Linked DNA regions of Lytechinus pictus. The protein of the gene in region 1 binds, or shares a complex with, the protein of each later gene. Links are inferred from orthologs where the notes say so. Each region holds a gene or a part of one and is shown in the gene's direction. Other genes may lie near its edges. The genes, in order: U5 small nuclear ribonucleoprotein 200 kDa helicase-like, pre-mRNA-processing-splicing factor 8, spliceosome-associated protein CWC27 homolog and SNW domain-containing protein 1-like.

What was found.
Region 2: the proteins of U5 small nuclear ribonucleoprotein 200 kDa helicase-like (region 1) and pre-mRNA-processing-splicing factor 8 are in contact, whole or in part, in a cryo-EM structure (PDB 7OS2), measured with the Homo sapiens proteins. The link is inferred for Lytechinus pictus from reciprocal best matches to the Homo sapiens genes SNRNP200 and PRPF8. Residues at the interface, in NP_054733.2 of Homo sapiens: Pro543, Met544, Arg545, Ser546, Thr570, Gly571, Thr589, Glu591, Lys592, Ile595, Arg624, Arg728, Lys729, Glu773, His786, Ala787, Thr814, Glu837, Tyr992, Thr1008, Ser1010, Ile1012, Leu1041, Glu1042, Arg1043, Val1044, Pro1045, Ile1046, Pro1047, Val1048; in NP_006436.3 of Homo sapiens: Trp2073, Arg2074, Ala2077, Ile2078, Ala2081, His2084, Asn2109, Lys2113, Tyr2168, Glu2171, Met2172, Arg2266, Leu2268, Gly2269, Phe2270, Gln2276, Arg2287, Leu2298, Ala2299, Asn2300, Glu2303, Glu2307, Arg2310, Pro2311, His2313, Phe2314, Leu2315, Asn2316, Phe2317, Ala2318.
Region 3: U5 small nuclear ribonucleoprotein 200 kDa helicase-like (region 1) and spliceosome-associated protein CWC27 homolog share a complex: the UniProt entries of both Homo sapiens proteins name them as parts of the minor spliceosome. The link is inferred for Lytechinus pictus from reciprocal best matches to the Homo sapiens genes SNRNP200 and CWC27.
Region 4: U5 small nuclear ribonucleoprotein 200 kDa helicase-like (region 1) and SNW domain-containing protein 1-like share a complex: the UniProt entries of both Homo sapiens proteins name them as parts of the minor spliceosome. The link is inferred for Lytechinus pictus from reciprocal best matches to the Homo sapiens genes SNRNP200 and SNW1.

What each region holds. Positions count from the first base shown.
Region 1 is NC_087256.1:3,906,595-3,914,104, forward strand, and holds the start of U5 small nuclear ribonucleoprotein 200 kDa helicase-like, read left to right. Parts: upstream 1-4,497; 5' UTR 4,498-4,593; coding exon 4,594-4,638; intron 4,639-7,510. UniProt on the Homo sapiens protein: Catalyzes the ATP-dependent unwinding of U4/U6 RNA duplices, an essential step in the assembly of a catalytically active spliceosome. Plays a role in pre-mRNA splicing as a core component of precatalytic, catalytic and postcatalytic spliceosomal complexes.
Region 2 is NC_087246.1:34,397,184-34,404,164, forward strand, and holds the start of pre-mRNA-processing-splicing factor 8, read left to right. Parts: upstream 1-3,972; 5' UTR 3,973-4,074; intron 4,075-6,981. UniProt on the Homo sapiens protein: Plays a role in pre-mRNA splicing as core component of precatalytic, catalytic and postcatalytic spliceosomal complexes, both of the predominant U2-type spliceosome and the minor U12-type spliceosome.
Region 3 is NC_087255.1:26,595,326-26,603,039, forward strand, and holds the start of spliceosome-associated protein CWC27 homolog, read left to right. Parts: upstream 1-4,702; 5' UTR 4,703-4,820; coding exon 4,821-4,862; intron 4,863-6,958; coding exon 6,959-7,168; intron 7,169-7,714. UniProt on the Homo sapiens protein: As part of the spliceosome, plays a role in pre-mRNA splicing. Probable inactive PPIase with no peptidyl-prolyl cis-trans isomerase activity. As a component of the minor spliceosome, involved in the splicing of U12-type introns in pre-mRNAs.
Region 4 is NC_087251.1:28,641,113-28,648,824, forward strand, and holds the start of SNW domain-containing protein 1-like, read left to right. Parts: upstream 1-4,702; 5' UTR 4,703-4,969; coding exon 4,970-4,986; intron 4,987-6,534; coding exon 6,535-6,595; intron 6,596-6,976; coding exon 6,977-7,054; intron 7,055-7,712. UniProt on the Homo sapiens protein: Involved in pre-mRNA splicing as component of the spliceosome. As a component of the minor spliceosome, involved in the splicing of U12-type introns in pre-mRNAs.

The sequences.
Region 1 (7,510 bases):
TTGTTGAAGCTCTCACCAAATTTATTCGCATTCAATCAAGTACTAGCGAGGGATATTATTAATCAATATTAACAAGATAAATCATTTTACAGCTTAGGATGTGATTGTTCAAGATCAATGAGAATCTTTAAATCAATGTATTTATTGTTGGTATTGGGGTGGCTGGACACATATAGCAAGTATTATAAAACCAAGACATGATCATGGAAAGCAACTGCAGTTTGAGTAAATAAAAATATACGCTATAATACAGTTTAAAATACGTTTATTTTCAGTACTGGCAGGCCTAGGACCATGATAAAAGATACTAAAAGTTGGCAAGTACTGTGTGATAACGGCATGCATTCTTATCAAGTTTTTGCACAAACATTTACAAAGACTGTTTATGTTTATTCTTTTAAAAAACCTCCATTGAAACTTGCCTCACCTCCTTTTAAATTCGCTTCACCATAATTTGTAGTACCATGGGTGTCGATCACGGGGGGGGGGGGGAATATATCCCCCCCCCCCATTATTTCAAGTGGGGGGATGGTCTGTATTTTCATCCCCCCTATAATTTAGGGTAGAAAAATTATAATAATGATGATGAAAAAATGAAAATTTGATCATGATGATTATATGCCATCAATCAGTTTGTTTCCCTCGCAATTTGTGTATATTGTTATTAAATAAAAACATTCTTTTCCATGACTTTTAAACAGATTGATGGAGGTTCAAGATGAAAAATAATGAAATGTTTATGTATATGATATTTTTAAATACATGACATAAAAAGACCCCGACGAAAAACAACTTTTGTTGATAGGTGTTCCATCCCACCAGTGGTTAATAAATTAATTTTAACAAATCAATTAATTCAAAAGGGTGTATAAATAAACGGGAGTAAGAGGGTGGCAAGATCAACGGGGAAAACCCCATGGACGTAAATCCCAGAGGGGTAGATCTTGAAAAAGTACAAATAACTTTTCTCAGATTTATCCCTCCCCACATCCAAGTGCATGATGTTTGTCCATCCCATTTAATCTACAACCCTTTGCCTGGTTATATACCGATGTATGTCATGGTAGTATTGTTATATATTATGTTCGGCATTCAGTAAACCTTTGAACATGAAATTATACCAAAAGGAAGATGTGCACAAAACGAATGTCACCTCTACTTGTGTATACCTTGACTTGAACGATAAGTTTTGGTCAATAATATTTTGCAGGAGAGCATTGATGTCCTCATTACCTATCTAAACTCCTCACAAAAAGTTTGGAAATCAGTTTGGCTATTAATTTCTCCCAACTCCAAATTTTACACAATGCATATTTGACGTCATTCAAAAGATCACTTAATTCTCTGTCATCACGAAAAGAACAGGATTCAAAAGTGTTGGATGAGGTCTGAATTTGAAAGCTGCAAAACGAGCAAAAAAAGTTTGGAAATCTGAGTTTGGCCGATAATTCTCCCAACTCATCACCACGGAAAAAAAACCAGTAACTTTCAATATTATGTCATTGTGCAACTTTTGAATTTTGACCTTGCCCCACATTTCAAGGCACTGCACCTCCATGTGAACCATAATCATATCATGTAGGGTATCATATTAAAGAGAATTAGATGATCTATTCAGTGATATTACTAACATATTGATATACATGTATATTAAATTTGAGGAGGGATTATCGATCAAAGTCAGATTTCCAAACTTTTTTTGAGGAGTTTATGTGGAAATGAGGTGCCTATAGTCATGAAAGAGTGAGCCCATATCACTTTTAAAAAGTCATAATGGTCGTGTGGTGATCAGTAGCTCATGTGTATGGTGCTTTTGTTGTATGCGGTTGGATGTAATTAATATCAAACATTTTATCATGTGACCCCATCAGAAAGAATAATCATTCATTTCTCTTTAAAGCGTATCTTCGGATATGAACATCGGATTTTTTCCATGTTATTCTTGTTATGGACTTGAATAACTAAACTTGATTGATTTTTTCTTATTTTGGCAAAAAGAAATCTCTTTTGAGTTTGGAAAGGGATGACAGGTTTGCAATCTATATGAGCACACTCATGCGGTACGTAAATTTCATTTTAACACATATATTAGCTGATATTACACACTGATGGTTCAAGAAAATGTTGGAGAAATATCATAACAGACAGTTGAGTTTTGATTGTTTTTATGTTTGTTTTTGTTTCATTCACTTACAAAGCATTTAAAACATGTTAAAATCCAGGGTTAAAATCGTCTAAGGAATGACGGTAAGCCCGATGGCGCACGAGCTAGAAGCCACAACGTTTGTAATTTGTGCTAGTCTTAATTTGTCCGAATCTGCATTTTATCATCATGCATTAAGAAGAAAAAAAATATTGCCAGTCGGGTTAGATTTAAGAGAGAAGTTGTATACATCATGCTCAATAAACAGATCACTTTGTACATGGTCCAGACAATTTTTGTCATTTTTTCTTTCGTATGAGCTTAGAACATGCTTACTTGTAACACAAATTGAATTTTCAAAAAAAATTATACATAATACAGTACACTGCAACAATGAAGGAATTTCCAAGAACACCATGCATATCAACCACTCCCAAATGTTCTAACTTGTGATTTTAGTGGGGGTAATGTTGAAAGATCCCCATCCCCAAGAACATTTGTGTCAATCATCCCCCCCCCCCAACCAAGAATACCGATTGACACCCATGTGTAGTACAGACAGTTTATTCTTTTTAAAAACCTCCATTGAAACTTGCCTCACCTCCTTTTAAGTTTGTAGTACAGTTTATTCTTTTTAAAAACCTCCATTGAAACTTGCCTCACATCCTTTTAAATTTGCTTCACCATAATACAGTTTATTCTTTTTAAAAACCTCCATTGAAACTTGCCTCGCCTCCTTTTAAGTTTGTAGTACAGTTTATTCTTTTTAAAAACCTCCATTGAAACTTGCCTCACCTCCTTTTAAGTTTGTAGTACAGTTTATTCTTTTTTAAAACGTACCTCCATTGAAACTTGCCTCACCTCCTTTTAAATTTGTAGTACAGTTTATTCTTAAAAAAAAAAACCTCCATTGAAACTTGCCTCACCTCCTTTTAAATTCGCTTCACCATAATTTGTAGTACAGTTTATTCTTTTTAAAAACCTCCATTGAAACTTGCCTCACCTCCTTTGTAGTACAGTTTATTCTTTAAAAAACCTCCATTGAAACTTGCCTCACCTCCTTTTAAATTGGCTTCACCATAATGCAGTCTATTCTTTTTAAAAACCTCCATTGAAACTTGTCTCACCTCCTTTTAAATTTGTAGTACAGTTTATTCTCTTTAAAAACCTCCATTGAAACTTGCCTCACCTCCTTTTAAATTTGCTTCACCATAATTTGTAGTACAGTTTATTCTTTTTAAAAACCTCCATTGAAGCTTGCATCACCTCCATTTAAATTTGTAGTACAGTTTATTCTTTAAAAAAAAACCTCCATTGAAACTTGCCTCACCTCCTTTTAAATTCGCTTCACCATAATTTGTAGTACAGTTTATTCTTTTTAAAAACCTCCATTGAAACTTGCCTCACCTCGCTCCATTTAAATTTGTAGTATTTTACGGTTATTCTTTTAAAAACCTCCATTGAAACTTGCCTCACCTCCTTTTAAATTGGCTTCACCATAATGCAGTCTATTCTTTTTAAAAACCTCCATTGAAACTTGATCACCCTCTTTTTTAATTTGTAGTACAGTTTATTCTTTTTAAAAACCTCCATTGAAATTAACTTAATGCCTCACCTCCATTTAAATTTGTAGTACAGTTTATTCTTTAAAAAAAACCTCCATTGAAACTTGTCTCACCTCCTTTTAAATTGGCTTCACCATAATGCAGTTTATTCTTTTAAAAACCTCCATTGAAACTTGCCTCACCTCCTTTTAAATTGGCTTCACCATAATGCAGTTTATTCTTTTTAAAAACCTCCATTGAAACTTGTCTCACCTCCTTTTAAATTGGCTTCACCATAATATTCACGTAAGGTATATTCATTCTTTAAAAAAAAACATAATTGTTCACTTCACTCTACTAGATCAATTAGCTATATATAATACCTTTTATTCTACTCTATTCTTCCCTTTAAAAAAAAACCTGATTGTACTCCTGCCTCCCCTGATCTGACATTTGCCTCCCAACGTACTGTACATATAGTGTTATTATCTCTTTATATCGGAAACTTCGTTTTACCAAGGAGAGAGTGATATCTCCTTGGTTTTACCGAATTGCACTCTCTCCGAAGCGGTTTGAAGTCTGTCTAGCATGGAATACTACCAGCCGATGGTACACACACACACACACACACTCACACACACACACGTTATTTGACAACTTGTCTCTGGAGCCAAAGTTCCTCGCATATAACTATCCTGTATCTGCATGCCTGCACGCAGTGTGTATTGAACACGCACGACCACGATCTAATGAATATTCATCGGCGAGAGTGACGTCATTTTACGAGTCTCCTTTCAAACTTGGTTCATAAGTGCCTACCCATTAAAATGCGTGAGTTCTACTTTTGTGAAAAACGTCAGTTAATCGTAAGATAATTCATCAAGAAGTACACTTTACTCTTTAGCCATGGCTGATGCTACGGCTAGGTCACTACAATATGAGTACAAAGCGGTAAGTGATATTTGATTTGTTTGTTTAAGATGTAATATCGTCCCTAGAGAATGTAGATTCCCAGCTCGCTTTTCATTTTTTTTGCAATTGGGCTTGGCACGCGCAACACTTGACTTTTCCCACCTATTGTAATCTGTGTAATGTGCTGTGCGGACAGTCTTGGGTTCTAAACTTCGAACACAATACATCATTTTTCGAATTCCAAGTAAATATGACAGGAAAAATCATGGTTCATGCTAATATAGACCCATTGAGCAGTTTACAAAAATTATTGAATGGAAGTTGGAATGGAGAGTGTTTTTTTTTTGGGATAAAACTCAAAAGTAGGGATGCCACCACAAAAATTGAAGTGTTGTAAATCTAGTATTAAATAGTTTTGACTGGAATAAGCTCTGAAACACGAGTAAAATGACACCAAGATCATAAAAAATTGGACCAGGGGTTGCCGAGATATGGCCAATTCAAATTTTGAAAAATGCCAAAATGGCAAAAATTTGTTTTTTGCCATTTTTAAAGCTATCTAAGTATTTTAAATCTTGATGAAGTATAGAGGTTGCTTTTCCTTGGGGCACCTAACATGTCAACCACCAACAAGTACCTGAAAAATTGGGTCCGAATTACTTTTGGTTTTCACAGTTTCATATTAACGGAGTTCAAAATATGGGGAAAACACATGTCACAAATTTTCACCTTTGGACTAGTGCTGTTGTCGGGAACAAAAATCCATGTTGACATGTCGCTTAAAAATTAATCCCGACATCGACAATGTCGACATGAAAAAGGGACTGTAATTTAGCCTAGGCTCCCTAACACAAAAAAAAATAATTCGATCGTGGAACATAACAGTAACACTCTCAATCAAATGTCTTCACCTTGACACGAGTGATATCCCCACACTAGATCTAGATCTATATAATACAGGCTCAGTTCGGGAAACATTTTGACTAAGCTAGAGTGAATTCACTTCCAAAATCACTGATTAATCCACATTTTTTTCTGGAGAATCAAGTTTTTGTACCACGATCCGGTCTCGAAAGCATTGTGCAATAACACTCGGAGCCAATTTGAGAATCAACCAATTACAACAGTGATCATTGCATATTATACGCTGGTACTCGTGTTCTGCAAACGCAAGCTCCTCAAATTGACCAAAAAAAATAATGAAAATCGACCGATAATTTCAGTATCACTTCCGCGGCGATCGGTGCAACGATCTCCAAACGAAGGAAGGGAAGTTTTCTGTGACTTCGTGATATGAAGTAAGTAAGCTTGTAACCGATTTTGCAATCGGCAACCGATTCCATTCGATTTCACCACAATCGGCAATCACTTGCCGATCTTCGATCATGCCCCTTGAAGGAAAAAATCGAAAATAAAAAATCGGCGTAGATCCGGTTACAGTGCGTGATCGCTCAGAACATATTTCAAGATTGTTTTTGAGGTGCTAGCTATTTAGAGGTCGCATTATTCAGGGAGAAAGTCGCGGTATTATCTATGGCAATGTTTAAGGGGATAGATATCTTCTCTTCCAACTCATGGTGATAGCGGATGCCGCCGTGAACTTTGAAAGGTCGTATTACCGACGGAGCTCACTGCGTTACTCTCTTACCCCCTTTATAATGATATAAATCTTCTCTTCAACCTCGTGGTGATAGCGGACCCCGCCATTAACTTTTAAAGACTGTACTATTGACGGAGCTTATTGCGTTGCTCTCTTACATCGTTTATGATGATATTCATTTTATTTTCAACCTCGTGGTGATAGCGGAAGCCGCCGTGAACTTTGAAAGGACGTATTACCGACGGAGCTCACTGCGCTACTCTCTTACATCGTTTATAATGATATAAATCTTCTCTTCAACCTCGTGGTGATAGCGGACCCCGCCAGAAACTTTTAAAGACTGTACTATTGACGGAGCTTATTGCGTTACTCTCTTACATCGTTTATGATGATATTCATTTTATTTTCAACCTCGTGGTGATAGCGGACGCCGCCGTGAACTTTGAAAGGTCGTATTACCGACGGAGCTCACTGCGCTACTCTCTTACATCGTTTATAATGATATAAATCTTCTCTTCAACCTCGTGGTGATAGCGGACCCCGCCAGAAACTTTTAAAGACTGTACTATTGACGGAGCTTATTGCGTTACTCTCTTACATCGTTTATGATGATATTCATTTTATTTTCAACCTCGTGGTGATAGCGGACGCCGCCGTGAACTTTGAAAGGTCGTATTACCGACGGAGCTCACTGCGTTACTCTCTTACATCGTTTATGATGATATACATTTTATTTTCAACCTCGTGGTGATAGCGGACCCCGCCGTGAACTTTGAAAGGTCGTACTATTGACGGAGCTCATTGCGTTACTCTCTTACATCGTTTATGATGATTTACATTTTATTTTCAACCTCGTGGTGATAGCGGACCCCGCCGTGAACTTTTAAAGATCGTGCTACTGACGGAGCTCATTGCGTTACTCTCTTACATCGTTTATGATGATTTACATTTTATTTTCAACCTCGTGGTGATAGCGGACCCCGCCCTGAACTTTTAAAGATCGTGCTACTGACGGAGCTTATTGCGTTACTCTCTTACATCGTTTATGATGATATACATTTTATTTTCAACCTCGTGGTGATAGCGGATGCCGCCGTGAACTTTGAAAGGTCGTACTATTGACGGAGCTCATTGCGTTACTCTCTTACATCGTTTATGATGATTTACATTTTATTTTCAACCTCGTGGTGATAGCGGACCCCGCCGTGAACTTTTAAACATCGTGCAACTGACGGAGCTTATTGCGTTACTCTCTTACATCGTTTATGATGATATTCATTTTATTTTCAACCTCGTGGTGATAGCGGAAGC
Region 2 (6,981 bases), on another chromosome or scaffold:
CAGGGGGCGTAATAGAGCCATTTGAAGGTCATAGATGAAGAGCCCCTACTGCTTGGGGTCTGGGGCTAAGCCCCGGTAGCTTATTTGCATAAAATTGAGCAAGCTAATAGCACAATGTTGTATGCAGTCCATCTTTCTTCCCGCTCTTTATTATCTATCCTCGTCAGCCCGGTCGTGTTATTAAGTTTTTATTTCTTGTGCCTTTTCTTTGTTTTCCAATTTAGCTTTTGACTAATTCCATTCTACCTTCATTTCCCGCTATTGTTTGTCAGTTTGTGATCTTTCCCATCATGCTATTGCACTACATAGGTCTATTTCGGAATGATTTGTTCTTTCTCAAATGCTCTTCTTTTGTTCTTCTTCCCGCTTTCCTTCCTTTTCCATTTAAAGGACATCCATTTAAAAAAAATATATATTTTTTGTTTTCTTTCCACTTTTCCCTTTCTCTTTCCTTTTCCTCCTTTCCTTTCCCTCTTTTCTTCCCCTTTCTTTCTCCCTCTCTTTTATTTTTTCCCTTTTTTATTTTCCCGGTGAAATTCGCCAGGGGGGGGGGGCAACTTGCCCCCCCCTGCCCCCCCCCCGCCTGTTACGCCACTGGATGCTTATTCAACAATATTAGATAATTTTCAATATACGTTTTGATCTGATCTAAAAAGGATCTGTTAACGGCTGCTTGCAGTTAGCCATGAAGACGTTACATATTTGAACAATCAATATAATGCGAGCGCGAAGCGCGAGCTTAAAATTTTGACATTTATATACCCGATGAATAAAAATTCTGAGCACTTTTTGTAATCGTGAAAAGGATAAGTATATATAACAAAACAATTGATGCGAGCGCGAGCGGAAAAAAAAAATCGAGATTCACACCTAAAAATGGGACACTCTATTCATGTTTGGTAAATCATGAAAATGATGAGTAATTTGAAATCTTCCTACATTAATAATGCGAACGCAATGCACGAGCAAATTTTTTTATACTGCGATCTGAAACTTGATAATGATTTAAATAGAGTACAGGCAGCGTATCTAAATAAACATGCGTGGGCGTGTTTCAGATTTCGACCTAGAATCTGGGCATTCTAAATGCCTTTTTTATCATGAAAATCAATAAAGCGAGCGCGAAGCGCGAGCTTAAAATATTTTATATTCCGATCTGATAAAAAGGATCAATTCAAGCTCTGTATTTCAAGCACTTTGAAGGGAATTTGTGAGGTGGATATGGATCAGAGTTAAAAAAGGAGCTGATATGTTTCATTATTATTACTTGAGTTTTGACATAGGACCGGGACATTCTAAGAACATTATGTCATCATATGAAAATGATGACTATATTCCTATATTTCTTCCTAAGCACGAGATGAAACTTGCCGATATTCCATTCTGAAAAAAGGGACAATTTGATTATTAAATTAATATCTTATTCATTAATCTAATAAGACTAATGAGAGCGCGAAATCTCTTAATATTATGGCCTGAAAACTGGACATTTAAATCACTTATGTAATTATGAATAAGATGCATGAGTTAATATATTTTCAACAATCAATGCGAGCGCAGATCGCGAGCCGAAATTTTTGATAAACTGTCAAGAAATGGGGATTCATTAGTTTGTTATAGAATTAATATTGATACACTTAACTCACCAATCAAAATGCGAGTGTGCAGTGTTAGCTGATACGTTTTGACAATCTGACCTGAATAGGGATATTTTGAGAACTTTATGGAATACAGGAAAATAATAGTTACCTGACAAATCCAATTTTCCGAGCGCGCAGCGCGAGCAGAAAATGTTAATATTCAGACCATAAAACAGACATTTCTACAGGGCAATTTTTAAAAATCAATTTGTAAATCGAACAAAAATAAAGAAAGTTCGATTTCCGAGCTGAAATATGTTTTGTATATTGACTTCAAAATTAATATGTTAAGCTCCATATTGAACAAGATATGTAAATCACCTAAAATGCGAGCGCAAAGCGCGAGCGAAAAAGTTATATAGTGACATGAAAGATTAAAAAAAAATTTTTTTCAAGTCTTCCCCTCATCTTATTTTATTCACTCGTCTTCCTCTTTTTATGTTTCTTCTTCTTTTGTCTCCTCTCTTTTCCTTTTTTTTTCTTTCTTTCCTTTTTTCTTTTTTTCTCTCCGCCAATAGGGGGGGGGGGGGGGGCCTCGGCCCCCTGGATTCGCATATGGTCTTGGGTTGTTGACTTTATTATTGGCCTACCTTTAGAGGAAGATGGGGCAAAACAGAATTTTGAAATTTGCAAAAGTTAACGGGTCGTGTTATTCAGTGGTTAGAGCATATTGGACTCATAATCACGAAGTTGTGAGTTCGAATCCTCACTCTGCCATTGTCTCCACTTTGAAAAAAGACCCGAGAGTAATATCTGTCGTCTATACCGTCAGCCACTATGACTGATTAACCTAGACGTTAAATGTTTGCTAGGTAATTGGTTATATACCAGCTCGGCGTTTACCAGCAAAAGCTGTCCTGTCGAGTTCCTACGGGAGTTACCATAAACAGAAAGAGAAATAGGCCTATATGGAAGTTTAAAAGTGCATGCCCCCCCAGGGGGGGGGGGGCACTTACATTGACGAGTGCATACCATTTGCGACCCAAAAAACACGTAAAAAGATAGGGCGCGTTACGTACGTAACGTAATAAGGGTGTCGTCAAAACACTAAAATAATGAAAAAAGCCTGGGGTATCTATTTCGCTAGGAAAGCCACGTGTTTAGGGTCAAATTTGGGAGGGTATAAACAATTCAGACTAAGATGTTTAATAAAGGATGTCACTCTTTGTCCCAGCAGTCAACACTACGTGTTTAGTACGATTTGCGCGAGATATGGGAGGTGGGGCCGTACTAAACCCAATGATGTAGGTAAAGGTAAAACCGACGACCGACGTCCGTACGTGACATAACAATTAAAATATCGCTGTACTTGTTTAGGTGTTCAATTCAGGGATAAGTATCGTTTTGTTTCCAATATACTTGTTAAGGGTAGGGTTTCACACGCCAATACTTGTTAAGGGGTGCATTTTCAGAATATGGAAATACTTGTTTAGGGTGCTTTTCGAGACCCCATGGTCGCGCATGGTATCGATCCACTCGTCAATGGAAGGGCCCCCCGCCCGGGAAAGTGCCACCCATAATATAATCATCTCGTCATGTCTGCATCCCGTGGGAGAGATGATCAGACAAATTCTTAGATCATCGTCATGTGTACGTCCCGTGTGAGAGATGATCAGATTGCAAGATCTCGGATCTCATCATGTCTACATCCTGTGGGAGTGATGATCAGATGATAAGATCTTGGATCTCGTCATGTCTACATCCTGTGTGAGAAATGATCAGATGGGAAGATCTTGGATCTCGTCATGTCTACATCCTGTGGGAGAGATGATCAGATGTTGTAAAAATAGCAGAAAAAAATAATGGAAAATATTGGTGAAGGTTTGAGTAAAATCCATTAAAGATTAAGAAAGTTATTAGAATTTTAAATTTTAGCTTTGTGACGTCATAAACGAGCAGCTGCCCCATATGTTTTGTAATATAAACGCATAAATTTCATTTTTTTAATGGTTCGATCGTGATGACTTGTTTTTGTTTTCTTTTTAGGAAAGGGTGTGATACAGTTGTAAATCAAACAAACAGAGGCGTCGATCTTGGGGGGACAGGGGGGAAGGCGATCGCCCCACCAACGAAAATATGGGGGGGGGGCAAGCATAGCGCTTCGCCCCCAATAATTCCTTGAGTGCATCAAAAATAAAACTAAAGTTACACAGAAATTAGTTGGCAACTTAGCCAAATACAGTTTAAAATTTGGTTAGGCCTACGTTATTTTCGACCCACTATAGGTCCATCCAAATCTGAACAATTTTTGTTTTTGAAGGTGTATCCGCAGAAAAAAATCCGATATGACATCATTTGCAAACAAATAGTTTTGATCCCCGAGAGAGCGGCCAATTGCGGAATGCCCACTCGACTCAGCGCGGTGGCCATAGAAGTCGCGCGCCCTCTGCGTTTGGTAACACTTACGTTGCGTCTTGTTCGAGATTACGAAAGAGTGAGTAGAATTTAGACTCCAAATTTTAATAAAGTGAGACCATATAAATTCACAATTTATTCTTAGAATTAGATCTGAATCTTACCACGTTTGCCTAGTTTGCCATATATCATTTGATGTAATTTTGTTGCCTCAAGAGCTGGAGCAGGGAGCTCGGGAGTGCAGTGAGAAAGCAAGCGAAGCTCGACGATTTGTATTGTGAGTGAATGGAGTGGAATATGGATGTTGTAATCGGTCATGTATTGTTATGCCGCCACGCCAGTGTGTCAGTGACTGAGTGAGCGACATTGTTGTGACACTTGTGGGCCGTGGGGAAGCTGGGGGGGGGGGGGGTTAAACAGCTGGCAGCCGTCTGTTTCGAGGAGTTTTTAACATTTCTTATTTCTCGTCACCTACGGGTACATTACCAGTAGTACAGTACTCCAGTACTGATTACCGCCGCCGTGCACAGCCACAGGATAACCACTGGCACGGCATACCCAGTTGTTGTGTGTCCGGACGATCAATTTTAGAAAGTCATCAGTAGAGGCGCCGGTCAGAAAATTGGGATCGTCCCAGAATACAGGGACTGTCTCAGTTTATAAGGATTTCTTCACACTAGAAATCTAGGAAAGTTCATTCACCTGTCAAGTGCCGACACCAATCAAGTGTGCTAGTCAATGTAAACATATCAGGTTTCATAACAAGATTATTGGAAGACGGTAAGTCATGAAAATTAGACGGCGAACTGGGGGGAATTGAGGTCACTGAATCTATTTTTAGCACTCTCAATTTCCGTAATTGCTGTCTTTGTCCCGTAGGGAGAAGTGAAAAAAAAACGTCCCCATAAACAAGGACAGTCTCAATTTATCAAGACATGATTTGTCTTGGTTTATGAGGATATCCTTGTTTTCTGGGACAATCCCAGTTTTTGGACCAGCGCCTCTACTGGTCATTTGGAAAAATTTACAAGGAAATCAATCAATTTTTAGTACAAAATGTCAGGAAATATTATAGAGAACAAAATAGAAGATGATTACAACTATTGATTTCGTATTTGTAGTGTAATCCAATGACAAAAAAGAAGGCTTCAAAAATATAAAGTGTCCGGACACCCGATCCCCCATCCCACTTGCAACACCTTTATTATTTTTAAATTAGCAATACATTACAGATTTCAAATTAAATAAACTTTGGTCTTTGGATATGAAACTTACCAAACGATATGAAGCCAATTTCAATTCCTCTCTGTCTTTCTGGTACTTTATATCAATGATTTTTCTTGATGTCGAAGCAGGCATGGGGCCGATTCGCTGGTTCTCGACTTGAATCTAGACTGTTCGATAGGAAAAATTCGCATTTCAATTGTTGTTTGCGTAATTTCCACCGCAGTATTAAGGATCGGACGGAGTAACTGGCTGAGATTTGGAGGTAAGCGTTTAAAATCCATTTTTATAGATAAGTTCGTGCTGATTTTTAAAATTAGATTACATTAGCCTTAGGCCCTAGGCTATATGATTAAGATTACTAAATAAGTAAATTTAGTATATTGTGAAGATTTAGGCGTGTTTCATATTCTCACATTCGTGTGATGAATGAAAACGTCAAAATTCATTATGAAATGACATGCGTTGTGCGAGGTTAATATACTAACCTCGCATGTTGTGTGAGTACTTTCTCGTAGACGTCGTAGTAGTAGTATACCCAGTTGTGTGTCCGGACGATCAATTTAGAACGTCATTTGGAAAAATTTACAAGTGAAGTTTCATCAATTTTTATTACAAAATGTTAGGAAATATTAATATTTTATATGGCAAGTTCCCCCAAGTCTGCGCAGTCCCCCTTGTCTGCGTATCTGCGCGATTCTAGTAAAAGAAGATACGCAACGAGCACGAAGTTTAAACATGCAATGCAATACATAGACAGGTATTCATAAAAAAATCCGACTGAAAATGGTGGAAAAATAAGGAATTTAGGGCATTTCATGTGATGGCCTCAAAATGCAGCCTTTCTCATCAAAATCCCCGAATTGTGCAAAGTGAATGAGTGCGCAGACATGGAGTATCTTTTTTTTTAATCTGAAAATGACTGCCCGAGGTTTTTTCAAGAAAATCCTATATTTTCTTTCATTTTTTAACGAGAAATTTGGTACACTTACTCTTAATAATAATATAAGGAACATTATTAACTGAAAGATTTTGTGAAATAAGAAGAAATTCATGTTAAATCTTAACTCAAATTGTTAGGTGCGCAGACTTGGGGCCCACCATCATAGAGAACAAAATAGAAGATGTTTACAACTATCGAATTCATATTTTTAGTGCAATCCAAAGACAAAAAAGAAGGCCTCAAGAATATAAACTGTCTGGACACCCGACCCCCCCATTCTACCCAGACGGCTCGCGATCGGGCAGCCGCATTTAGGGGGTAAACCAGGCCTCTTCAAAGAATTTTTTTCATCTCTTGCCCTGTCGGGCAAGTGATAAAAAAATTTGCTTGACCAATAGAAAAAACTGCTTGCCCGATTTTTTTTCAAAAATTCTTTTGCTCTTAATTCAATTCAAGACTTTAATCCAGACACAGCTGCATATGCAGAGATCCATATCATCAAATAACATACATGTAATATACATCAAGACAAACGTGCAAATAGAACAAATAAAGTATAAACAGCGTCCTGGTTGAACTTGATATACTGGCGCTGGCCTCGGCATTTCTTTTTCTTGACTCTTGTTCAAGTTCTGGTCGCCGATCGCGACGACAAAAGTCGCCTATTTTAGTCTGACAACTCATTGTTTATTTGGTTTGAAGTTGAAGCCGAGTCCTGGCCGAGTCAGTCCGAAGCTTGCATGCATTCAGCGCGATCTAGCTCGAGAGTCGGCTGGCTCGCGATCGCTCGTGTACGTATGTACATGTACTGTAGCGCCA
Region 3 (7,714 bases), on another chromosome or scaffold:
TTTTAATTACTTTCTTACGTGCAAATCAATGTAGAAAAGTTTGTTGACAGCAAAATTTGCATATCAAAAACACGCATGCAGTTGTACAATTTTGTAATGTACAGGAGGCCTAATGGGGGAAATTATGTTTACAGTATTGCCTTGCAAATAACATGATAAACAAATTACAATGCGTGTTTAACGCAACATAAAAGAGTTTCTCTTTGATTTTCTGGAAAACCTATAGACTTGACCCCCCCCCCCCCCCGGCTGAAATAATATACTGATCGGCTGAAATACTCTGTTGACATATCGCTGATGTTTAATCCTTTGATTTGACAAATTTTTATGTGAACAAATCAAGGATCGAATAATAATTAAGGTATGGAAGAAGGAGGAGAGGAGAAGAAACAGAGCGGGAGTGAGTTATAATTATAATTTGTACTATACTACAAAGAATATTATTACTACAACTGAGTGTATAAAACCAATTGATAACAAATATCCTGAGATACATCTATTGCAATCTTAATAAAACTTAAAATAAAAAAAGTTTTGCAAAATTGTGAGTACAAAAAACAAACATATTAAGCAATAATAGGCCTATTGTAAAACTGACAAATACTTGGAATAAGATAATACAATTATTGTTGGCTGTTGAGTGATCCTAATTTTAACCTCAAGTGATACCTGTCAGGGAGGGGTCCAGTCGAGCCCCCTGTACTTGTATACTTTTATTTTGATTGTGAATTTTCTTCCGGGTGCGTATGTCACTTTAATTACACCCCACCCCCTAAAAAGCGAATAAAATAAACCGATTCTAACTTAAATAGAAGGGTATTAAAAGCAAAAAATTTTGAACAATTTCATTTTCGGTGCGATATAGGCCTGCAGATAGTAGGGAATTTATCATGTTCCTATGAGAAAAAAAATTAACAAGTGCACCGAAAACCCAATAAAGTTTTACCATTGATGGTGTAACGGGAGGCTCACCATGATGTAAAATTAATAAGATGCCCTTTAAATACTCTATACCTTGCTAATAAAATAGTAATCAAAGATCAAAACACTTATACAAATTATTGTACATTTAAAACAAACTAGTATATACTTAATACAAATTAATGCAAGTTTCATGCAGTTGGTCATTTGATGCTCAATTTTATAGGCGTACTGGTTTTTTACGAGATAAGAATATTCATCTGTAAAATTGTAGAGCCTATCCGATATATATTACTTTGTATTATGTTTGAATGAAAAAAAAAATGAATTGAGGTGAAGTGAAACGAATAGAGTTGAAATGAATTAAATTTACAAAATTATATCCATCGTAAAAAAATTGGTCATGAGAACACGGAATCAAGTGGACGAAGGAATGTGCCAAAGGATGATGTATCATTAAAGCCAAAGATAGGGAAGTCCGGAGAAGATGGGCTAAATCACTGTCTTTTGAAATGATTGTCAAAATTTACTTTTAATGTTGTATGTTTTATTTTTTCTACTTATTTATGTCATATTATCAATACTGTTATATATTATTATCTATAGGCCTAACAAAATACAGGCATCAGTGGCAGGTAATCGTAAATACACTGTATAGAGAATTTCATCCCGAGAATCCAGATAAAAAGACAAATTAATAGCAGAATTCCCATGTAATCACACTAATAGTTTATTGAGATACAATTTGTCTTTCATATTTTCAATTGTAATGAGGTTGGATTCGTTTCTTCAAGATAAAAGCCGGAGACAGCATCCCTTTTCTCAGCGTTACAACGTACGAGCTATGTGTACATCCGGGTACTTTTGCGAATCTAGACCTATCGAGCAATGGCCGACCATGCTCCGCGCAATCACAGACGTTAAGTACGCGCGCCTATGGCGACTCCGCACTCTAGCGTAATTAGTATACATCTCTATGGTTTGGTCCGATCCCGGGATTTCTCCTGCTGAAATATGAAACTATATATTCCGAACTTGCCTCTAATGGTATCTTTAAAAATTGATTGAGATAATCATTATGCAAACAAGACTCGAGGATTTTATGAACGAGAAATAAAATGATATCAGAAATGAAAGGCATAATGCAAAGTTATGAAATTGTTTTCTGGAATAATATATAAAACTTTTATAAAGATATTGTCGGCAACGGGGTCGGCAAGACGTTTACTCAGTTTTGACAATGTTCTTAGATAAGTACCTGGCCATCTCCCTCTATCCACGCTTATTTATATTAATTATGGGGGGGGGGGGTGGGTTAAAATAATTATTAGAATGTTGCAGTCCGCTTTGTGAACAGGGGGGGGGGGGGTTGTAGATTTGCACATCAAACACAAGATGGTGCAAAAGATAGCTATATCCAAGTAAAATGGTTTGAGTGCATGCTGTCTTCCCAGTACTTAAATGGTGAAGAAAGATGTTCTAACTTGAATTTGAGCACCGTGCAATTTTAAAGTGTGCTGAGAATTGAAACTTTACTGTTCGAGATTTTTATCACATTTGCCTATATGCGTACATTAGCCACAACTAGAGTTTAAATTAAACCTGAGTTCAGAAATCGGATCATTGACTTTGAACCGGACTCCCGGCTAAGTATATTCTATTAACTTGGATTCATGGAGGGCTCTGAGAACGAGGGGATGCTTGCTAAAAAAAAAGGTTTTCACTACAAAACGAAGGTCATTGTTGTCACGAGGAGAGAAAGAAAAAGGTTTAGCAAAAAAAAGTGACTTGGGTTCAAATAAATTTTCAAAAGCAAAAAAAAAAAGTTTTCACTACAAAATGACATACTATATAGCCGATTACTTTTCTAGGGGGTGTTGCCTATGGCGAATAACCCATGCTACAGCACCCCGCTTCCCAGGGCCATGGATTCGGATTGGTCAAAAGTTGATCACGCAATGCGACATATTTACTTCATCAAAGTCTTGCGGCGATGGAACTTCTATTATGCATTCGCTTAGTAACCGTATGCACATCCCAACACATCACTTTCTTTTTTCCCCATAAAATGCAGAGTCAGGAAGTTCACCTCAGAACAGGGGCGGCAGAACCGGGGGAGGGGGTAGCTAGGGGACACTGTCTTGCCCCCCCCCCCCAAAAAAAAAAAAATCTTTGGCTCGCTCTTCGGTCTCGCTCATCAAATTGGTTAGAATTTCCAGTTTTCAGGTGGGAATATCAAATATTTTGGGGTCGCATTTAGCACTGTCTCGCATAATTGTTAAGTAAGGTCCTCATTCTGTTCCTGATTACAAAAAATGTTTATAGGATGTCCAGTTTTCAGGTTGTAATATTACAAATTTTCAGCTCGCGCTTCGTGTTCTCATATTTACCAAAAAGCAAGTTTTACAACTTCAGATTTGAATTTTTTTCAAAACCACTTGCTCTCTCCGCTCTCTCGTTGAAAAAAATAAAGCCTAAATATACATCTTATCAGTCAGAATCATTTTGAAAACTTTGCTCAAATTAATTGTTACAAAACACACAACTGCTCCACGATGATGATATTCTCATGTTGAAAATATACACCGTCCTTTTTGGCTTTGCCCCCGGAAATATACGCTCCGCCGCCCCAGTGCCTCGGAAGAACTAGGAAGATTTCCAATAATGGCGTACAGATGGGGGGGGGGGGGACTTGGAGGCACTTGCCCCCTACCCCAAAATTGTCATGACCAAAAAAGAGTAAAGAAAAGGAAAGGAAAGAGTTAATGTATTAGTTTCCTAATGCTAGATAAAATCTCTCACAAAATTTGATAAAAATGTCAAAATGTTTCCTCGCTCACAACTTTTAATAAATTTTGCCTGATGCGCTATGTCTACCCACCTAATTATTATTTTTTTTTTGCTATTTGTCTCATTACGCCACTGTCTGGGACCTCCACCAAGGTTAATTTTGTCGACCCAGGGGGAATATTCAATAGTAACTAAAATCGAAACCAAACTCAGTCCAAAGTCATTTTGATTGATATCAACCCAAGTTAAAACTTAAAAAAAAAACCACAACAATAGCAATTCAATATGAAATATTATCTTTAAGTGCTTTTAACAAGAAAGAAGATACAATGTGCTGGTATCATTTTCTGCTATTTTGTTACAGAGTTGGAATAGAATGTATATCATTTTGTTTTAGTGTCAAAGAATTGAAGTTATATACATAAAAATACTGAATATTAACAAAATCACTAAGAAGGTAATGGCAATGTAATTAACAACTAGTGAATAAAGGCGGATGCCGGGTGCCGATGCACCCACCCCCATTTGAGATGCAAAAAAAGAAAAAAGAGAAGTAACCCCCCCCCCCAAAAAAAAAGAGTATAGCCAAGGGAAAAAACACAATCAGAGGGTTACATTTTTGTAAAAGTTTGTTGAAAAAAGGTGGGGGAGGGGGGCTGGGGGTCAGCCCCCTTACCCATCCCTGTTCAGCGGCCCCTGTTTAATAAAATACATCTCATATTCAAGGGAATTAAATGGTGCTTGAAATTTCCTGTTTAAATTCATACTTGCATCACGGCTCCCTGCAAAAAGTCCTTCAATAGTCCATTTTCATGTCATTGTATTTAAAAAACCCTTTTCTTCCAAAAAAGCTCCTTCTCATTCTTTCGGTATTGTGGGCGTGTGTGTGTATGGGGGGGGGGGGGGGGGGGGGAGCCCCGATGCTGCAATAAAAATGTTTATAAAAAATGGTTTTGGTTATAACTTAAGATACCATAACATGCGAATGTGCAATTACGAAAAGTTGATCGAATTCTTCAGTTACCAAAATAGAGCCTGCTGGTGCTAAAAATGGAAATGGAAAAGTAAAACCTGAATTTGACAAAATATTTCAATATTTTGACTTCATAATGAGTAATATATACATCCAAGAGCCACCAACCAATGGGAAGGTAATGTATTCAAGCGTTATGATATTTTTATTGCATAGTTATTTCGTCTGATCAGTGTGACTACCCTGTCCGCTGGATGTTGATGTGTAGTCCCATACGTCTGTTGGTGCGTGGGTTTTGGTCTAGTAATGTAATTGAGGCTTGCGCTTTTGAAGTTTTGTTGAGCGCGATTGGCTGCCGACACTCACACACATGCGAGGCTAGTATTAGTCTTCAGGACGCAATGATGATGACTTTAAAATCCTGACGTATACTTCATCATTGACGTCTTGACACTCTTCCCATTGACGGTCAAGTCAATCTTGACGTTCATATGCCATAATAATCAATATAATGATTGTGGGCATTAACGGAAAGACAAGACAAGATAGTCAGACATAGAGTGATAGACGCATAAGATTAAGAGACGGACCAAAACAAAGATGGATTTCCCTAGGAAATCAATCTTTTAAGACCAAAATCACGTAAAGTTTATGAATATTATTGAATTTTACACCTTCCTAGTTCCTACGCCTAATTCGTAGGAAGGTTTTAAAAAATGTTAGATCAAAATGTAAAAAAATAAAGGTTTCTTACCTAACTGATGCCGCGTAGACCCCTCGATCCACATGTAAACAACGGAAATGAAATAGCGTCGACCCTTGAACCGCTTATGTATGACGTACTTGCTGTTTTGAGGAACAATTTATAGATAAAAATTATTATTTCACAAATAGTAAAATTTATAACATAGGCCTAGGTTTTGTTATAATATTAATTTTTTTTTTTGGTCCGTCTCTTCTATGGGAAGAGTGTCAAGACGTCAATGATGAAGAAGTATACGTCAGGATTTTAAAGTCATCATCATTGCGTCCTCAAGACTAGGTTAGTATGCTATACCACTCATTCAATGATATAACCTTGTTCTCTGATAGTGATACTACTCCCTGTGTAGTAAAATAGGCCTATTTTGGGCAATGTTTGGCTTATTTTCAATTTCTCTTTCTTTGCCAGTTTTGCCTTTTTTGGGACAAATTGAAATGCTTGATTTTTTTTTACACATTCAGTTTCCATCCAAATTAGAGTAAAGTCCCCAAACATCGGATGGTTCCAAATATCAGATGAAAATTACTTCAAATCTCTCCCCATAACTACAGAGAACCTGCACTGGCAGGGGACTTGCATGCACAAGATACATGAACATACCTGTTATTGAACAGCACACACAGTCATGACAGTAGATCCAAGTTGCTGCTCCAAAAAAAATATTCCAGGGGTTAAATCTATGGATAGTGATCTCATTCTATTTTCTGAATCGAAAACCAAGTTTGTATGATCCGTTTCTGAATATCTCGCCATAAATAGAGTCTCAAAGTCAAATAAGCATACCGGTACATGTTTTAATCACAATTTGTGAGCCCTCTGGTGAACAAAACAAAAAGATAACATCTCTGAATATGCATGGACACATGCATGGTGTGACACCTTTTTAAAACTTATTCTAACATTTTTTTTTAGAGGAAAATTTAGTCTACCACATAGGGTAGTGTAAATGCCTACTTTTTACATGTCATCTTTAGCACTTTTCACTTACAGCCATTATAATGTTCAATCCTTGCATCTGTTTGACAAGACACTTTCAGGGTTCCCAGCCCATCAGGGAAATCATGGAAAATTATGTAATTTTTTCCAGTCAGTGAAAAATTAGGGAATTTGGTAAAAAATACCTCAAATCAGGGGAAAATGCCCCAAATGAGGGAAAAATCAGGGAATTTTGATCAGCCCAAAAGTCGAAAGCACGGTAGTCAGCCAGACTCTGTTATATTTTGTTGCATATCAAAACAACATCCATTGAATGACTTGTTATGGTGGTACTATTTAGTTTCACATTATTTTTTATACTGAAAATACATGTAATTCATTGCAACAACTTAGAAAACATGCGAAACTGGGAATGGGTTTAAATAATTATCAGGGAATTTTTAACTTCATCAGGGAAATATCAGGGAAGTTTGTTTTCTTGAAAAGCTTGGAACCCTGACTTTGTTCTAATCTCTGCTGATTTTTTTTTACTGATTTTATTCAACTAATTTTTTTTGCTGAAACTGATTCACCAGGTTCTCCTCAAGACATCATGTGGAGAGTTAGACATAGAGCTGTGGTCCAAAGAGGCGCCCAAGGCATGCAGGAACTTTGTCCAGCTCTGCATGGAAGGCTACTACGATGGCACCATCTTCCATCGCATCATCAGGAACTTCATGGCGCAAGGAGGGGACCCCACAGGAACAGGTGAAGGGGGAGAGTCCATCTATGGCCATCCATTCAGGGTGAGTGATGGGGCATGTTGGGGGATGGTAATAGTAAAAAAAGATGATTGAGTATTAGAGGATGGGAGAGGAAGAGGATGGGGAAAGTAGGGGAGGCAGAAGGAGAGGAGGCAGATGAATAGAAGGATGGGAGAAAGAGGAAGAGAGAAGAGGGAACAGGCCAAGGAAGAAGTGGATATGAGGGGATCAGAGCAGAGAATGGAGGAGGAGTAGGGGAAGAAAGGGAAGGACGAAGAGGAGAAGAGATGGAGGAAGATAAGAGGTGAGGATAGGGAGAGGAGACGATGAGATAAGAAGGAGAGCGAGGGGAGATGAGTAGTCAAGGGAGAAAATAAAATAAGAGGCAGGTGGATGAAAGAAATGACAATAAGGATGAGGATTAGGAAAAGTAGGAAGAAAAGGCGGAGAAGATAGAAGAGAGGAAAAGATATGAGAGGAGAGGAGAGTTAGAGAATAGGAAACATTGAGGAGGAAAAGGAAAAGGCATAGCATGAGGAAGAGAGAATGGAAAGTGGGAGGATAGGAAAAGAAGGAGAAAAAGAGCAT
Region 4 (7,712 bases), on another chromosome or scaffold:
TTCAGATACCCATCTTGTAAAACTGATTAGAATGTCTAGTGTCCAGTTAGGAATATCAAAATTTTTAGCTCGCGCTTCGCGCTCGCATAATTTATTCAGGAAGATACCCATCCTATTCATAGTTAAGTGCACAAAATGTATCGTTTTAGGTCTAATTTTTTAGAAAATTTCAGCTCGCGCTTTGCGCTCGCATCAATTAATTATTCAGTTAAAAACAAATTTGTTCATGGTTAGTAAAAGTGCTTAGGATATCCAGTTCTTAAGTCGGAATATCAAAAGTTTTAGCTCGCGCTTTGCGCCCGCATGACTGTTTAGATACCCATCTTGTAAAACTGATTAGAATGTCTAGTGTCCAGTTAGGAATATCAAAATTTTTAGCTCGCGCTTCGCGCTCGCATAATTTATTAAGGAAGATACCCATCCTATTCATAGTTAAGTGCATAAAAATGTATCGTTTTAGGTCTAAATTTTTAGAAAATTTCAGCTCGCGCTTTGCGCTCGCAATTATTATTTTTTATATAATTTTAGTGTAAATTGTTAGGCAAGTGTAATTAAAAGTGAAGACTTTTTGGAGGTGGGGCTTGTCAAATTTTTGTAAACAAAATGTCCCCCTTGAAAATCCTGGATCTGCCCCTGGGTTGGATATAGATGAGTACTGTTCGTCGGACGTCAGTAATCGGTACTGATATCTGTCGGGTAAAGGCCTAGCTATACCCCTGCTTACACATTCCTCTGGTTATTACTGTCCCCCTATCTATCCTATGTACCTGATCCCTTCGTCCGCCTATCTATCTTTTCCAATTTCAATTCCCTCAACCTTCTGACATTCCTGCCAGTGAGTGAGTGATTTTCCCCATATCTAGTGATATATCATGTTACTGTCGCATATATTTTCACGTTCATATTTATTTTTTCATGAGTGGATGGATGCGTTTATTTTTGTTTTAATTGTGTATATGGAAATAAAACAAATGCAAATCAATACATGAATACAACTGATTTCAATGTCAAATACCTCTTTTATAACGTCTCCAAATGAGCAGAATTGGGAACATAATGTAAACACCTTCAAAGAGTAATAAAGGAAGTATTTTGATATAAACATTGCAATTACCACTTGATTAGAAATATATCGATCACGATCCAATACATTTCATTTCTGGAATGATATACAGAAATAATAATAATTTCGACAATAAAGTGCAATCGCCCGATAGCAAATATCAGTAGTAGCAAGATCCCAACTGTTTTATTGGGCATCCCCTGGGTAACCTTTCCCACATTCAGTGCCACTTCCAGACCTACACATCCAAACGTGTATGGAGGGGGGGGGGGGTTGCAAAATGCAGGGCAACCGAGGACTACGAGGTGCCCAAAAATCCTCGTGTATTGGTAATTTGATGACCGAATTTATAATTTCTGCAAGTTCCATATCATGTACAAAGGCTAAATAATAATTGGGAAAAAATGTTCGCTCGCTTCGCTCGCTCGAAAATTAAAAACTGTGAATTTGATATTTGGGCAATGATTATCAGCCCCCCTTGAAAACTGTGCCTATACGTCCATGCCTACTACCCCCCGCCTTGCTTATTTTTGTCGCTTGTCCCCCCCCCCCCCTGACGAAATATGCCAGGTACGCCACTGTCAGTAAGTCATAGGACGATAGTTCTCCAAATCGTCATCTGAACATATTTTATTGACAGGTATACTATTAACAACCATCATACTATCAGGGACAATGATACACTGAAGAGATAAATTTTATTTATATGCGTCAAGGGATCCATAATTTCACGAATACGACAAGATCACAGTGACATAATGAGAGGGGGGATATGGGTACGACATGTGTGTGAAAAATATTTCTTATAAGTCCTGAGTGAGAAAGTAGAGCAACTGAAGCAGAAAAATTACCTTTTTGGAATGAAAATCTAATTTTGTAATAGATTTTTACATAATATTCAGAAAACAACATCGTATCTTACCCCTTTTCCTTTCCTTTTTTTTTCTTGGTGGTGGAACTTTTGGGAGCCATGACCCAAGCCCCCCCCCCCCCCCCCCCATATCTGCGTCAGTAGAATTTCATGACCCAGGTCCCCCTTTCACAGTTTCAGTAACACGTGTTTATCGTTTTGTTTTGGGGTTTTTTACAATTGGCACACCTGAAGTAAAAAAGATTCACAAAAACTTTACATTGGTAATATATTCTGTTTTCCCCAGCATTAGGAAAATGCCCTGAACAGAGTATGATAAACCTATTACATGTCTACATAGGAAGTAAATAAAAGAGCATACCGAGAGACCCTATGTATGGGATTTTTCAACATAATCATAATGTGCAAAATAATACAAGAGTACTCATATTTTCGTTAGAATAACAATCATTCAAAATTCATATAGGCCTATATATTTGGAAAGCGATTTTCAAAACAAATCATCAAATAAATCTGAGCCGCCCTTTTGAAATATCAACATTATAATTAAAACATGATTAATTACTGTAAAATGACAGATGAACAAAACTTTGGACGAGAAAACCAAAACATTTTTTTTTCTTCAGTGATCTTGTATTGTGGTGTGAAAGAACTGTCCAGTGGTATAGTATATGAGTTACACTGGAGTTGGGGTTTTCCAAAGGTAACTTTATTTTCGTATCAAAAGGAAAAATAAAGGGGTATAAGCTATCCCTTAACATTGCTTGCCCCATTCAATCTTTTCATATGCGATTCAGCACCGTACTTATGGGATTAAATATTTTCTTTATCACTCCTCTTAATTTGTTGTTTCACCTTTCTTTTTTTTGGTCACATCGAAAATAACAGAAACTCTTGAACACCATTCTAGTGGGCATACTAGCAGTCCCTTTCACCTTTTTTTTGGCGGGGGGGTGCAGTGGGGGGGCTAATGTTAAAAGAAAAATGAATAAAAAATAGAATTGCGATATGATTGTTTATTGGTGTGGATGCAAAAAAATATTTGGTACATGATTCATATGGATAACATTTGAAGGTACAACTTCAAAATATAAAGGTGAATGAGAGAGGGAGGGAGAGAGAGAGAGAGGGAGAGGGAGAGAGAGAAAGAGAGTGGGAGAATGAATCGGGGGAAAGGGGTCAGAAAGAGAAAACCAAGAAGGAGAAATTTGGGTGTCATTGATTTCGTATGAGCCAAATCCCGACTGCTCGATCTCCAAGAGGAAAAAAAACAAGAAAATAATGATCTGCTTAATACATCGGAACGGCATGTCTAAGCGCTTTACAGATATATTATTACCCCGGTCATCGGATTTAATCAGTCATTCCCGCACACAATGTGTGTATATATTGACCCCAAACAGGGACATTTTAAGGACTATAATTTAGGAATCCATTAAGAGTATATATATGTATCTCACCATCATCTAATGCGAGTGCCAAGCGCTTGCTGATTTTGTTAGAATAATATACATCTTAACACATGAAGCACTTGTAGTCATTGTCATGATTAACATACGCATCTTACTAATCAAATATTGCGAGCGCGAGCTGAAAATTTGGGAAATTCAGACCTGAAGAGAGGCATTTTAAGGCTTGTTTGTAGGAATTCACGAGGAAATACGTACGTATTTCACTAACCAAATGATGCAAGCGCGAAGCGCGAGCTGAAAATATATTGACCCCAAACAGGGATATAATTATATTAAGGACTATTTTTTTAAAGGAATCCATTAAGAGTACACATATCTCACCATAGTCATCTAATTCAAGTGCCAAGCGCATGCTGATTTTGTTAGAATTACATCTAAACACATGAAGCACTTTTTATAGTCATTGTAATCATGATTATCATACGCATCTCACTAATCAAATATTGCGAGCGCGATGCGCGAGCTGAAAATTAAGGAAATTCAGATCTGAAAAGGGGCATTCTAAGGCCTGCTTGTAGGAATTCACGGAGACCATGCGTATTTCACTAACCAAATGATGCGAGCGCGAAACGCAGGCTGAAAATTTTTGATATTCAGATCAGAAAAAAGGACATTTTAAGGACTGATTTTAGGAATTCATGAAAAACAGACATATCTCACCAATCCACGAATGCTAACGTAAGCACGGACAGGAAATGGTTTAGATTAAGACCTTAAAATGGGGGCAATCACTTTAAGTAGCCATGAAAAAGAAGCATAATATGTCACTACTTAAAACAAGAATTCGACGTGCGAGGAAATATATTTGTTGTATATTGATTTGAAAACGGGAGGTTTTAGTACAACAGGATTATATATCTTGTTCAACAGACAATGCGAGCACCAAGAACAATGAAGACATAGGCCCTGCGCAAATTATGTTTCATAAAGTTATGATTTTTTAAATGTAATATAATATAACATAATTATAATATAATATAACTTTATAATTAACAATAATTCCTTCTTTCCCCACTACTTTTCTCTCCCTTTCTCCCTCTTTTTCTCCTTTCCCCGTTTTTTTTTTGGCCAGCCGATTGTGGGGGGGGGGGGGGGGTACGTGCCCCCCATGCCCCCCCCCCCGTAGTTACGCCACTGGTGGCAACTGGCAAGTATGAATTAACGCCTATTTTTTTTTTTTTTTTTTTTTTAATATGTACCGGTATATGTGATCGGAATATATATATATTTTTTTAAACAAGTGCACACCTAGTTACCAATAATGCATATAGCATTTCCATTTTTATTTGAAAGCAGGATAAAAGAGCATTGTAGATTAAATGCCTTGCTCACGGGCATAGGCGCCGCGGCCGGGGATCGAACCCCGGACTTTCCATGTATAGCCTGGCGCCTAGACCACTCGGCCACGGCTGTTGTGATCGGAAATTGGCACGTCTCCCTCTAGCGTTAGAAGACATGCATTAAAAGCCTATGGCGTAGCGAGCTTTCTGAGGAGATTCGACGACAGCCGATAGTTTGCCCAGAGATTTCTGCATTGTATCCAAGACTTTCGTCAAATTTACTATGGTGTCACTTGCTGAGTGAGTAGATTATTTACAAAATTTATTTCATGATTGGGTTATTGGTATTTTTTACAGTAAAATCAATTGCTAGACGGACGTGAGACTAAGTAAGAGTGGCGAGTGTGAACGGTGATTGTGAATACACAGGGGGCCGGTGCCGTTACTGGCGTGTGTAATTTCTTATGCACACATTTCCAGTGGCGATATCACAATTCTGTGACACAGTAATGCTCATTGCACAAGAGTTACATGTAAAACCCAGGGTAGAGCTCAATATTTGTGTGAGACTTAGTGAGTGGAATCTAACAGTGACTGAGTGTGGTGATGGCAATGTGTGTGATAGCAGACAGGGATTCGTCTGCCGGAATACACTTTTTGATTGTGGACTTGTGTCTTGTGTGGGCATTAACTAGTCTATCCACTTGCACGCTGCAACCATCCTGCCTGTGCCTGTGGGAAATCTACAGGTAGGAGTCGGACCAGTGTTTCCTAAGCTCCAAAATAAAATTCCCGAAACTGAATCCCAAATTTCCTGAAATTCATAGATATTTCCTAGAATTTTCAAATTTGATTTTAAACAAAATCGGGCAATACAGCGAGCCTAATAATTGGTCCGGGTGGCCAAAATCAAGGAATTTAGCATTTTTTGTTAACGCCCTCTTTAAAAATAGGAATAAAATTACCAAATGCGAGTGCAGAGCGCAAGCAGAAAATTTTGAGCTATGTATGGAGGTAAAAAATTCTGGCCTGAATATTAATAGTTGCTAGGTAACCAAAACCCAAGAAGAGAAGCAATCTTATTGGAAATTTAGGTAAAATGAGATGAACAATTACAAAAAAAAGTTTCATCAAAATCGGTTATGAAATAAGCAAGTTATGGACATTTAAAAAGTCTTGTACTTTCTATAGGGATCCTCAAATTGGCAAATGTGCTTCAAAATGTCTGAATTTGTGGACAACTCTCCATTTGTTTTGTACACAAATTTTCAGATTTTCCCCTTTATTTTACATTTTTCACATCTCCTGACCTTGACATATGTGGTGTGAATTTTATTTTCCCAAGACATATGTCGTGCTCAGAAGGAAGCAAGCTGCAATTTGAAAGATAATGAGGAAAATCTGAAAATTTGTGTACAAACAAATGGAGAGTTGTTCACAAATTCAGCCATTTTGAAGCATGTTTGCCAATTTCATAGTAGTTTTTAGAGTCAGCACTGCTGCTATATTGAATTGCGTAATGCAGGTGAGACTGCCAGAGGCGCTCCACTTGTTGACCATTTTTCATCATCTCTATATTCAAGTTCCCTTTGGAAGAATGTTGCAAAGTTTGAGCGTACAAAATCATTTTCTCACGCGTATGATGCGCGTTGGGTAAAACAAGGCCGGTCGGTAATACAATCACTCACTATACCATGTGATGTGACAATTGTTAGGGTTGCGTTGACAAGTCAGACACATTTCTGGGATTTTAACAAATGTTGCTGCAAGCTTCTCCTGCTTCATCTTTCCTTGTTCTTTTCTATCAAATACTAGCAATTGACTAAAAAAATTATACTTTTTCCACAGCATCCTACCTAAACCCAAGCAATGGGGGCAAGAAGATGAGGTAGACCTGAGAGCCAAAGAGGTAAGCAAATGAACATTCCTACACGTATTTCATTTTAAATAATTACAATAGTACTAATAAGGCCTGTTCATAAACATTTTGTGACAAAGCTCAGCAACCCTTTGTACGATGTCAATGGGGTAGGAGTTAAAAAAAGAATGTTGCAATAACATAGTGACCTGTTTTTGAATGTGTTGCTTGCAACCGCTAAGAGACAGACAAATAGTGAAAATTGAAAAAAGTTAAGATATGATGATTTACGCTGTTTGACAGACTTACTCATGATATCATTAAATATAATGCTGGAATGTGACTTTTATGAACCCATTCTCTTAAGTTTAATAATAGGATGTTGTATTAAATTAATAAATTTGCACTATAATGTTCCTCTTTCTTTTTCAGTTACGTGTGGTTTCTGTATCAAGGAATGCAGCTCCACCGTATGGTCATCGGAAAGGATGGGTGCCTCGGTCATTGGCTGTAAGTACATTAATATATATATACCCTCCCCCTAAAAAAAAAGAGACCCAAACAAACAAATATGCAGCAAAGTTGAGAAGGTACATGTAGTTAGTCATTCATTCTGATTTCAATGAATGTACTGTAAAAAAAATTACAGATAAATATTGAAAGTGAGGGATACTTCAAGTGGGAAACTTAAAGTGGCGTAGAAAATATATTTTTTGTTGTGACATACCTCTGTTTTAGAAATGTGGAAAATTGCCATCGTAATTAATCAAGTGATATACAGATTTCATTTTGTACCACAGAACTATCATTTTCATTGCATCACTGCCTACAGCCCTTGCAGTATAAAGTTGTCCTGAGGACAAGGTCATTTTTTATAAAACATCTTACAACCACTGTCTGTAAAGGGGAAATTTGAGGAAAACGAGACAGTTAAGGTGGACTGGACATCCAAGGCAGTGGCATCATATCATTGGTTTAACACAAGCCCTCTGTCACCTACATGTGCATGTGGCAACTTTCATTCACATGTTGATATAGATGGCAATATTGCAACTTTACATCCATGACTTTAACATGGAGGATCTAGCTTCCGAGATAAAAATTCCAACTGTTACCATGGCTTGAATGAATCAGTATAAATGAATGAATGAATTAACTTTATTGATCC